Neurospora crassa OR74A: one gene and its partners. The main gene of each other region encodes a partner of the protein of the gene in region 3 in a complex. Links are inferred from orthologs where the notes say so. Each region holds a gene or a part of one and is shown on either strand. Other genes may lie near its edges. The genes, in order: NCU08353, un-17 and NCU03479.

Region 1 (3,489 bases), on a different chromosome or scaffold from region 3:
GCGGGACCTGAACTACCACCTTCCCCCAGGTCTCACGACCCCCCAAAGCGATCAATGCATCCGGAATTTTTTCGAGACCGACGAACTCCTTGTCGCTGAACACAGTCGGTTTGAACTTGCCTTCGGCAATCAACTTCATGATGCCCTGCCACACGGTCACCACCGTCTCCTTCTCATGGACAGCGTATTGGCCCCAGTGAACACCGACGAGGCTGATGTTCTTGAGAAGAACCTTGTTCATGGCCACCTTCTCGATCTTGCCGGCAGCGAAACCGACAATCAGGATGCGGCCATTCCACGCAGTACATTTGGTGCTCAGATCTACCAGGCCGACAGGATCGTAGACAATGTCAACACCCTTGCCTTTAGGGGTCAACTTCTTCACCATCTCGGGCCACTTGGGGTCCGTGTAGTCGACGACATGATCAGCGCCAAAGGACTTGGCGACTTCGAGCTTGTGCTTGGTTCCGGCCGTAGCAATGACAGTTGCTCCAAACGCCTTTGCAACTATGTGTGGGATTAGCAACGAAGTAGTTCATCTTCGAGACGGGTATGTATGCCACTAACCTTGGACTGCGGCAAGACCTACACCACCGGCCGCAGCGTGAACAAGGACGAAGTCGCCCTTCTTGACGCCGGCCCGAACAACAAGGGCTCCATAGCTGGTTGGTGCCGTCACAAAGAGGCCGGCAGCATCCACAAGCGACCAGCCTTCGGGAGCTGGGAGGAGGGCCGTCTCCTTGGCTTTGACTTTGGTAGCGTACGCACCCTGGCTAGCTCCAAACACACGTGAACCGACGGGGAACTTGGGGTCCTTGAGGCCGGAAGGGGTGGCGAGAACCACGCCGGCGAACTCGGCACCTGATACCCAGGGGAATGCTAAGACGCAACGTCAGCATACTGAATGCAATGTAAGCGGGACTCAATAAAGAAGCCGCACGTGGTTGATTCTGGTATTTGCCCTGAATCTGAAGAATGTCGAAAAAGTTGGTTGCCGCAGCATGAACTTCAATCAAGTACTCATCTGAAGTAGGTGTAGGGTCTGGAAGCTCCGTGACCCTGAGCTCTTGCGGGCTCTGAGTTAAGGGCTAATGTTAGAACCACGAAATGGGAAGATGTCCTGGATGATCGAGATAGGACATACCTTAACATACTGTGCCACCTGAATGCCTCTCATCTGGGAAGGATACCTGGAGTAATAGAGTGCTTTGTTACACTGGAAAGAAGCAGACGCAGAAACACCGAGTGAGATACACAAGCAGTGAAAGAATGACAACCTATATGATTAAACAAGGGTACAATATGGTTGAACAAATGCCGAATAGCCATCGCGGGGGTGACCGCTAGCCCAGTGTAAGGGAAGCCGAGGTAGCCCAGACCGGGATAGCTGATCTCTGATTGGTCACTCACCTTGCATCTCTCGGTGAGTCCACGTCTTATCGATTTCCAACAATCGATTTGCGACTTGTTGCACTCTTTCTCTCCAAACTCTCAACCACACCTTGCTTCAATTTTTTGAATGGCGCAACCTGCTGTGCGAACTTCTCCCGACCAAAGCCGAATTTGAAACTGGGCAAACGCAGCAAAGAATACGACTCTTGGTTAAGCGTGCATAAACACAAGCCACGCGCATTCTCTAGGCAAGATTCATTACGACTGGTCGCCCAGCTACATACCTCTCCGAACCGATCGTGAACCGCTCGCGACAAAACAAGCCTACCCACCTTGAAGCCCGAATCGCACCGGCGAACCACCTTTTTCCCCCCCTCACACATCCGCCGAGATGGCGACAACAACACAGACAACAACAAACTCCCTCCCCTCTGGGGCAGGAGGACCGCAACAACTCGTCACTCAGATGCTCAACCACACCGCGCCACACTATACCTTCTCCTTCACGCCCTTCCTCCAGCGCACGTACCAGCACTCTCTCCCCGCCGACCGACCCATCTGCAAAGCCTACGCCTCAGGCAACTGCCCCCTCAAATCCCACTGCCCCGAGCGCCACGTTACCGCGTCGTCCCAAAACACCCATGGCGGCGGTAACACCTTCAGCGGCGGCTTCGGCTCGCTAGTCTGCAAGCATTGGCTGCGCGGCCTCTGCAAAAAGGGCGAATCGTGCGAGTTCCTGCACGAGTACAACCTGCGCAAGATGCCCGAGTGCAATTTCTTCGTCAGGAACGGGTACTGCAGCAACGGGGACGAGTGTCTGTATCTGCACATTGATCCGCTGTCGAGATTGCCGCCGTGCCCGCATTACGAGAGGGGGTTCTGTCCGCTGGGACCGCGATGTGACAAGAAGCATTTCCGGAGGAAGCTGTGTTTGTATTACCTGGCGGGCTTCTGTCCGGATGGGAAGGGCTGCAAGGAGGGCGCGCATCCGAGGTGGACGGCGGATAAGGATATGGAGAAGCCGAGGGCGAAGGGGGAGGGAGATCAGATGCTGCTGCAGCAGCAACAGCAGCAGCAACAACAACAACACATGGGCGATGCTAATGGTATGGGTGGTGGAATGGCGCAGGCGACGGGCGCGAATGAGTATATGGACCGAGAGAGGGAGCGCGATCGGGATAACAGGGAGAGGGAGATGATGATGCAGGGACGCGATAGGGACGGTGGCGGGCATGATCGCCATAAGGATCGCTTTGGAGGCGGAGGAGGAGGAGGAGGAGGAGGCAGAGGCCGAGGAGGATGGAGGGGAAGAGGAAGGGGAGGATTTAGGGGTAAAGGTCATTAAGAGAACATTGGTCCCAAAGCGGCCAGGGGAGGTCAAATGGTACATGAACATAGCGACATATTTAGGCTAGTGCTCGGACGATGAGAAGGCCCAGGAATCCGGTAGTAAAGACCAGGTATGCATCACGGAATAAGGAATAGGTCACGGCGCAAAGGCAAGGTTATATCTAGTGTATTAGCTGTAGGTCAGGTTTACATTCACAGGGTTTGTGAGATTCTTATAAAAATTGCTAGCTTGACAGTTTTGAGGAGCTGTGATCTGTATGTTCTTCCAAAATAGACTGAGAGGGACGAGATCCCAAAACATGAACGCCGCTCCCTACCTAGGACACCCGTAACCAAATGATAATCAACCCACCGTCTGAGATGCTATGGCATATGCCATTCTTGTCGACACTGCCTTCTTTTGTACTCTTCCAAACTATTCCCATGAAGACTTTACTCCATCGGCACCGCAACAAACAACTCATTCGATGTGCGGGCCCCAGTCCCCACCTCCTCCTCATCCCCATTCTCGCTTCCCATAGACCTCACCGAGCCACCCGACCTTGGGCTATTAAACGAGCTATGACTCGACTGCCACGCCGCCAGCTCGTCCACCGTCCGGATACCCATCATCCACGCCACCAGCCCGCGCGGCACCCAGCGTCCGACAAACCCATACACGCTCGCGCCGAGGCCGACGCGCACAGTGCCCTTGGTAATGGACCCGTCAATCACGTCAAAAACAGCATTATGCAGCTCCCGCAACGA
Region 2 (4,317 bases), on a different chromosome or scaffold from region 3:
CCTCGACGCCATGAGCGAAGACGGCAGGAGCGATGCCTAGATAGGGTGTATCGAAGCCGAGGACGCCCTGGATATAGGGAAACATGAGCGAGCTGGGGCTGGGTGGTCGATGGAGAGGCGCGGAGTCGGCGGTGCGATGGTCCAGCTTCGGGTCCTCGACGGCCGGGTCGGTGCTGCCGTGGATAGGCTTGTCGGAGGAGAGCTCGATGGCGGTTTCGGCGGCGACGATGCCGCCCATGGAGTGGCCGACTAGAACGACGCGGACCGAGGGATCTATGGTGGGCGATGAGGTTCCGGCGGCAACTTCGAGGTCGATGACTTTATTCATGAGCCTGTGATAGCGAGGGCGACCCATGTTAGGGATGGTTCGGGGCTTCAAGCATGTGACAGATGAAGGAACGGATGCGGTCGATGAGCACATACCAATCTCGAAATCGCGCTACGCACTCGCCCAAGTCCCCTCGAGTCTCATATTTGGGATATACCACGACGTTGACGTTTATCTTGGGTAGGTCGGCCGCGACAAGTTGGCGGAGGTGCTCGGTGAAGGCATAGTTGTCGCCAAAGGTCGACTCACCTCCCTTTGCATGACAATGTCAGTTTGATCTTGGCTGGCGCGTCGCTTAATCTCATTGTACATACCTTGAAGCCGTGGATGAAGCAGAGAAGTAATGTCTTTTTCATCCTTCCCCATTGAGACTAAGCAAAGTGGAAGTGGTGCAAAATGGATGTAGTGTAGGGGAGGCCGAGAGAATCCAGATGCGACACCCATGTAAACTTTCAACGTTGCCCCGGCTGTTACGGTGATCCTCCATCTAGCGGCAGCGTCATGTGCAGGGGCCTGCAGGGCCAGTGTGGGGGCGGGGCCGCGCTATGGAAGGGACCTCCCAGGGGAACTCCAGTGGATGATGCATGGACACCTGGTCCGGTCTTGCCCTTGCTTGCCGCTTGGGGCCAGATCCCATCTTCCACAGGGGCCGCGGCAGCTTTGAAATGTCATCTGTTCTCCAAATCCATACTTCTACTCTATCGTCATTTGACCTTCACTCCGATGGTACGTACCTAGCATTAGACCAAAGTTGAATTGGTACTTACAGCCGATATAATAGAATACGTCCCTGAATATTAGACCGATGTTTACTGCAAAAATGGAACTGATTCTGCCAACTCACCTGTCCCCATGGCGTTACTCGAATGTACTGTAAGATGCCCAGAAGTGGACAGACGGACATCCTACGCCTACCTACCTAGGTACTTGAAGGAACAGGTCGGGTTGTCTGGGGAAGACCTTCTTCTACCTGAAATGCGGCAGTCCAGCGGCCTTTGCAATGTGACGATTGAGCTTTTCAGAGCTTGACTCCCTGAATTGTCGGAACCAAGACACCAAAACCTAAGCCAACATGATACCCGTCTTATTATGGTGGGGGTACCAAAGTACTTGAATTTCAGTGGAGATTAGGTATCCCCGTGCGGGTCCCAGGATACTCGTCAGAGGTTTACGGGTGATTCCTGCAGGTTGCATTTCAAGTTGCAGTGTCCAGCGTCTCTGAAATAACAGGACATTGCTTCGCGCCAATCATGCTGCCAGACTTGTGGTGAGTGGGAGTCCGTGCTCAACACCCAGGCTGAACCGAGACGCGCCGAGTCGGCGACGTGCTTTTTGTCTTCTGCGACAACCTACCTAACGCAGCCCCTTCATCCATCCCCATCGATCACCCTGTCTGGTTTCGGCTTCTCCGACTGCCCCAGGGTCGATATCAGAATCAATCAGCTATCCGGTATCACCATCTTTCGAATCAACAAAAAGCACAGCATATCATGACCTGAGCGTTCTTTGCCTTACGTGGAGCTGCTTGGTTCCTTCTGTTCAATCCCATCATAGACTTCTATTTTCGCCCGTCAGCGTTCTCTCACTGCGCCTGCGCTCCTCTCTTTTGCGCGCGCGATCCAGTTTTCCTCTTGTCGCGACCAGCGTCATCGATCAGTCCTGCACGACATATTTCGTCTTCGATACTCTTAGCGGCGCATCCAGCACGCTTCCTCGTCCCACCGCGCTTCGTGCCACCATGTCGAACCCCGAACAAACCTTGGGCGTAACGCCTCCTATCTCGACCACGCTACCTACCGACGCCGAGAAACGACAGACCGAGGCCCTTCTCAAAGAGCTGCGCGCGCAGGGCACCTTCGAAAGTCAGGCCGAAACTGATAAGCGATGGGCGGTGCTCGCAGATCTCCAGCGCATTACTGATGAATTCGTGAAGAGGGCCGCGCAGGAAAAGGAGCCGCACAATGCCATTTTGATTCGCGACGCTCGAGGCAGAATATTCACATATGGCAGTTTTCGCTTGGGTGTGTATGGGCCAGGATCCGATATCGATACCCTCGTCGTTGTACCCAAGTACGTCACCGTCAAGCAATACTTCGACATCTTTCCCAACCTTCTTGTCGAAATGGCTCCCCCTGGCGCCATCACCGACCTGACTCCAGTACCCGAGGCCTTCGTTCCTATCATCAAGTTCGAGTATTCGGGCATCAGCATAGATCTTATCTTCTGTTCAATCCAGAGCCTTCGTCAACTTCCTGACGACAAGGACTGGAATTTGAACAGTAACAACCTCCTGCGCGGCTTGTCCGAAAACGAGGTGCGCTCGCTCAACGGAACACGCGTAACCGACGAGATCCTTGCGCTGGTTCCCGAAGAGAAGACGTTCAAGCTGGCACTTCGTGCAATCAAGCTCTGGGCTCAGAGAAGGGCTATCTACGCCAATATCATGGGTTATCCTGGTGGTGTGGCTTGGGCTATGCTGGTCGCCAGAGTATGCCAACTCTATCCGAAGGCGACGAGTGCTGTCATCGTCAGGAAATTCTTCACTATTATGCTCAACTGGCCATGGCCGCTCCCGGTTCTTCTGAAGAATATCGAATACAACCAGTCCATTACGCGTGTAGCGGTGTGGAATCCCAAGGTAAGTCAACCCCTCATCATTGTCGCGCTGATGTCTCACCACAGACTAGATATACCCGAGTGATCGCAATCACAAGATGCCCATCATCACCCCATCATACCCTTCCATGTGCGCGACACACAATGTTGGAAGGTCTTCAATGGCGGTCATTCAACAGGAGCTGGAACGGGGGGTGCAGATTTCCGAAGAGATCATGTTGGGTAAAAGGCCTTGGAAAGATTTGTTCGAGAAACACACCTTTTTCACCAACGGCTTCAAGTTTTACCTGACGGTCATCTCATCCGGCAGGACCAAAGAGGCGCAGAATACCTGGTCGGGCTTCGTCGAGTCAAGAGTGCGTGTTCTGGTCCAGAAGCTTGAGCTGCACCCTTCCATCGCCCTTGCCCGCCCCTTCAACAAAGGTTACGACAGAGTGCACCGATGCAAGACGGATGCTCAGGTCGAAGAGATTCAAACCGGAAATCTCACATACATGGTCAAGCCGACGGATATAGCCGCGAATGGGAGCGCCAAGAACGACAGCAAGGTTGAGGTCAAGGCGGAGATCAAGACGGAGGATGGTGTTGCACGGGAGCCGACTGTGCCGGCTGTCAAGGAAGAACCGAACGACGTGGTACATCTAGGAACGGTACCTCTAAAGCCTGAGGACAACTCTGTAAAGCCTGAGGCCAACGACTACGACGAAGACAAGGTTAAGCTGGAGGATATACCGGAGAAGGAGCCGGAGCTTGAGATTTACACCACTAACCATTACATCGGCCTGCAGCTGGTAGAGGGAGCTAAGTCTCTGGATCTGTCCAGAGAAGTCGACGACTTCAAGGCAATGTGCACCTCGAACGACATCTTCAAAGCAGAGTTGATGGGATTGACTATCCAGCACGTTAGGAATTTCGATCTCCCCGACGACGTTTTCGAGCCTGGAGAGACGAAGCCTGTTAGGCCAGTCAAGAAGAAGAAGCGTATGGCCGAAGGGGAACATGCGAACGGCCCGATGGCCAAGCGACAACAGATGGCGACCGCGCCACCGACCATTAAGAGCGAACACTGATCGAAGGATGTACAGACAGATTTTGTTGGCGGTCACGGACAAATTAGTTGCTATGTGCGAGCAGTACCACGCGCGAGGTGTAGAGAAATGTATCTAAGATAGAGTTGCTAAATCTGCTAGACTAATAAATTTAGTTTTTCGGGGCACAAGTGCCCCATCAACTAAGCCAAGTTTCCATCTCGCAGTGGTCTTTGCGTCCGTGACTTTTCATCTCACTTCTTGCTCTATTATACATCATCTTAACAAATTCTTTGCTGCGTCGATTGCTTCTGCTAATGAATTGAGCTGTTAGTTCCGTTGTAC
Region 3 (4,106 bases):
CCAAGCAACACGGCCATCACGGCATCAGCAATGCCGTCGTTGAGCATGTTGCCTTCCCACTCTAGTTCTACCTCGCCGCTGGCACGGTAGCGGACGGTGACGCATCCCATGACCAGGTAAGCGGCTACCACGTCGTCACCGTGGGGCAACTCCTCATCAGCTTCTTCCATCTTGGTATCGCCGTTCTCGCTCTTAACGATCTCCAGCTTTGGCTTCACTTCGGGGAGTTCTTCGACGGCACCAAAGGTTCCTTCGAGACCCCACTTGATGAGGTCAATACCAGCGGCACTCAGCTTCAAACGCTGCTTGCACGCAATAGTGGTGGTCGTCAAGCCAGCATACTCTCTGAGATCCTCCGGAGCCATCAGGGACATTTTGAAGTCGTTTTGCACCAAAACACCAGTGATAAGCTGAGGTTCGGTAGAGGAGGGAAGAGGTCCGTCATGCCCGGTCTTGGCTTCCTTTAAAGAAGGCGGGATGGACGCAAGCTTGCCCACCACCTTGGCGACTTTGTCCGTCTTGAAAGGGATGCGAAGCTCCTCGCAGTTTCTGGGGCTGAACACCTTGACTTTGTGTTCCTTGGTCGCGTTGAGCGAAAGAAGCTTGGACTTGAGACGCATCATGTTGTGCACCTCGCCGTGAACGAGGATGACGACGGGGGCGGCGACTTCCTCGATGAACTCCCTGTTTTCCACGCCGTCAACGTGCGCAGCAAAGGAGAACTCCTGGACGGTGCAGCGACGGGGGATCATGACCTTCTCGGCGTCACCACCGGGGCCGCGGCGGGCACCGGCAATGTTGCGAGACATGACGGCTTGAATCTGCTCTGGCTCTTGAAGGAGCTGCTTGGCCATGGTGCCCTCGACGGAGTAACCGGTGATGATAACGCCGTTCTTCTCGCTCGGCGCCCATCGCTCCAGCAGCTCGCGACTGACGCCATTTTGGAGCATACCAGGGGAGGCAAGCATGACGCAGCCGCCGACGTCCTCGAAGCGGTCAAGGCTCTTGAGGGAGCGGATGAACCTAAAGTCCCATGGTCCTCCCTTGCCGGCACCGTCACCGGAGGACTCGGACTCGGCCAGACGCTCGCGGAACAGCCGCTTGATGTTGTCGTTCATGGAGCCGACATAGGTCTGGTAGACAAGCATACACTTGCGCGCGAGGTTGGAGGCGTAGTAGATGGGGTATTTCTGGTATTCGGCGTGCTTGCCCCAGTACTCGTCGAGGATGAGGAGGAGCTCCTGGGCTCGACCGAGGGCGAAGACGGGCATGAGGACGCGGCCGCCTCTGTTAAGGATGCCGGTGATGGATTTCATGAGGGCCTGTTCACGTTCTGGTCGGGGAATGTGCGAGGCGATACCGTAGGTGGACTCGGTGATGAGGACGTCGATCTTGACACCCTTGGGGACTTTGGCAGAGATAAGATGCCTGTCTTCTTCACGGGAATAGTCGCCAGTGAAGAAGATCTTGAGGCCGGCGATCTCAATCAGAAACATGGCGGCGCCAAGGACGTGGCCGGCTGGGTATGGTGTGATGCGGATGGAGGAGATGGTGTGGGTAGTATTGTAGTCGATGGCCTCGATCATGGGAAAGGTCTTGAGATGGTCCTCCTCGGTGTAGACGAGCGACGATTGCGGGTTCGACGATGTGTTGCCAACACGGACACTGTCCTGGATAAGCCATTTGTAGATAGCCTTGGTGGCATGTGTCATGAAGACACGGCCTCGGAAGTTGGTCTTGGCCAAGACATATGGTAACGAGGCGGCATGGTCGATATGAAAACTAGAGAGTGGGCAGTCAGTCTCGGCTAAGGTCTGGACCAGGTAGGCGACTATGGGCGAGGACAGTGCTTCACAGAGAACATGCAGCGCGAGTGGCAGACAAGATGGGAGGGGGAAAAGGAGAAGAGCGGGCAATGGCGACAAATTCTTTTGTATTTTCATTTCCTGAATACATGTATATGATGGACGGTACAATGCTGCAAAGCGGACAAGAACCGCAGAGACCATAGAGCAACGTGTCAGTCACTGGCGATGGCGTATATCCAGAGCCCAGCTCGATCATCAACCCATCTTGTCCCAAGCCAAACACTGCGGCACTGTCTCTCGCGGATAGACGGGCATACATATAATTGTAGGCCATGGCAAAAAAAGGGGGTGAAGGGGGTTGGGCTTACTGGCTGATCAAGAGGACATCTACTGTGCTGAGATCGAAGTCATCAAAGAATGGAAGGGCAGCTAGGCCATCATATGCTGGATGTTGGCCAGCATCAAGCTACAACAACCCACGGAGAGGTCAGCCCATGTTCGTTGGGAGGAGTGATTGATTTTGGTTGATTTTGCGCACCATAACGGTTTTGCCCTTGTACTGGATGATGTGACATGATCGGCCGACTTCGTTGCCTCCGCCGAGGTTGAGGAACATGAGTTCATCCGCTGGGTCGACCGGCTCCTCTGGCTCCGTCGCCATTGCCGAAGCCTTCCGCTTGGAAGCCATGGCTTAGGTATTCTTTTGGTTCGTTCGCTCCACGCGTAAATCCTTGCTTTCCCACCGTCGCCCTGTATATACTTGGGAACTTTCAAGCTGCTGACTGCGATTGTTTGATTGGCAAAGTGTGGCGGTTTCGATGCGATTTGAAACGCGAATTACGCACGTCAATTGCGAGATGACGTGGCTCAGTCGACGTGAGAAGAAAGACGGAATATCACGGATTAGTACGCGCCGTGAATATGGATGGCGCCCTTGATGTGATTTCGTTGATGGATGTTGAATGCGTTTTGGATGAAGATGGCAAGTGCTCGTTGAATGAAGTGAGGTTGAAGTTGGCGGCTGATTTGCCTGCCGGAAGTCCCTCTTCGGTCCCAAGCCAGCCGCACAACAACCGTCAACGGCCAAATGCCCCACTATTTTCCACCAATCTCACACGTGACTGGCTCACTCACTTCATTGTACGTACCAGACGCGACCCTTGTTGAGGTTCAGTGGAGCTCGTGCCGCCGCTAGCAACAAGCAATTGAACCTGCAGCGGCGGGCAGCAACTGGTCCCGTCGTTCTTCGTGTGCGAGAGTCCCTCTTTTCGATTTTATTGTTCGTCATTCTTTCTCCGACCACCCGACCTCGACCTCCCCTCCTCCAGTGCTTCACCCAACAATCCGATTCATAACCTCCCACCGTCGCCATCACTCCCGCGGATCCAAACGACAATTAATTGTCGACCACGACGATACTCCAACGAGCGAGAAATACATCGACCAACTCGGACACCGATCGATACGAGCGACCGGCGTATGGAAGGAGAGACACGGCGTAGCTAGAGGGGCAGCGCAGGTTCGCCTGCTTCCACTTGGGTTTACGGTGACGGGAACCTGAGCACTTGATCAGTTGGGAGCTCAGCCTCGCCGTCAGCTGGAGGACAAGGAATAGCTGCTTATTATCAACGACGACCTTCATCTGTCCACCCCAAGGGCGCCCCATCACCATGGCGCAACCACCGCAACAGCCTCAGATGCCTCAGTTGCAACAGCAGCAGCCTCAGTTACAACAGCAGCAGCCTCAGTTGCAACAACAACAACAACAACAACAACAACAACCTCAGTTGCAGCAGCAGCAGCAACCACCACAAATGTCGCCGCAGTTGCAACAGTTCCAGCTCCAGCAACAACAGCAACAACGTGCCCAGATGCTCGCTCAACAACAAGCCCAAGCCCTTGCTCAGCAACAGCTGCAGCAACGCGCCCAGCAACCTCAGCAGCATGTCCAGCCTCGCCAAATTCCCCAACAGTTGCAACAACATAGCCAACAGCAGACCCAACCGCCGCCGCCGCAACAACAACAGCAACAGCAGCCGCAGCAACGTGTACAGCAACAGGTCCATCAGCAAGGGCACCAGCAAGCCCCAACTCACCAGCAACACGCTCAACAACAACCACAACACCCCCAACATCCTCAGCAGCAGCAGCAGCATGTCCCGCAGCCGCAACAACAGCAACATCATCCACAACTCCAGCATCCCCAGGCCCAGTTGCAGCAACCTCAGATCCAACACCCTAGCCCGCCAGTCCACCAGCAACCGCAGTTTGCTCGTCCGCAGCACACACCCTCTCCGG

The links.
Region 1: NCU03479 (region 3) and NCU08353 share a complex: the UniProt entries of both Saccharomyces cerevisiae proteins name them as parts of the cleavage and polyadenylation factor (CPF) complex. The link is inferred for Neurospora crassa OR74A from reciprocal best matches to the Saccharomyces cerevisiae genes YSH1 and YTH1.
Region 2: NCU03479 (region 3) and un-17 share a complex: the UniProt entries of both Saccharomyces cerevisiae proteins name them as parts of the cleavage and polyadenylation factor (CPF) complex. The link is inferred for Neurospora crassa OR74A from reciprocal best matches to the Saccharomyces cerevisiae genes YSH1 and PAP1.

Annotation. Positions count from the first base shown.
Region 1 is NC_026501.1:5,654,093-5,657,581, reverse strand, and holds NCU08353 (mRNA 3'-end-processing protein yth-1), read left to right. Parts: upstream 1-1,463; 5' UTR 1,464-1,783; coding exon 1,784-2,737; 3' UTR 2,738-2,974; downstream 2,975-3,489. Other genes in the region: NCU11325 (alcohol dehydrogenase), read right to left, coding at 1-507, 568-879, 941-1,076, 1,145-1,177; NCU08354 (hypothetical protein), read right to left, coding at 3,175-3,489. UniProt on the Saccharomyces cerevisiae protein: RNA-binding component of the cleavage and polyadenylation factor (CPF) complex, which plays a key role in polyadenylation-dependent pre-mRNA 3'-end formation and cooperates with cleavage factors including the CFIA complex and NAB4/CFIB.
Region 2 is NC_026503.1:4,131,051-4,135,367, reverse strand, and holds un-17 (Poly(A) polymerase), read left to right. Parts: upstream 1-1,506; 5' UTR 1,507-2,066; coding exon 2,067-2,966; intron 2,967-3,015; coding exon 3,016-4,014; 3' UTR 4,015-4,237; downstream 4,238-4,317. Other genes in the region: NCU08984 (hypothetical protein), read right to left, coding at 1-332, 424-581, 643-684. UniProt on the Saccharomyces cerevisiae protein: Polymerase component of the cleavage and polyadenylation factor (CPF) complex, which plays a key role in polyadenylation-dependent pre-mRNA 3'-end formation and cooperates with cleavage factors including the CFIA complex and NAB4/CFIB.
Region 3 is NC_026502.1:551,216-555,321, reverse strand, and holds the start of NCU03479 (endoribonuclease ysh-1), read right to left. Parts: upstream 2,823-4,106; 5' UTR 2,497-2,822; coding exon 2,347-2,496; intron 2,275-2,346; coding exon 2,177-2,274; intron 1,783-2,176; coding exon 1-1,782. Other genes in the region: NCU03480 (hypothetical protein), read left to right, coding at 3,479-4,106. UniProt on the Saccharomyces cerevisiae protein: Component of the cleavage and polyadenylation factor (CPF) complex, which plays a key role in polyadenylation-dependent pre-mRNA 3'-end formation and cooperates with cleavage factors including the CFIA complex and NAB4/CFIB. Has endonuclease activity.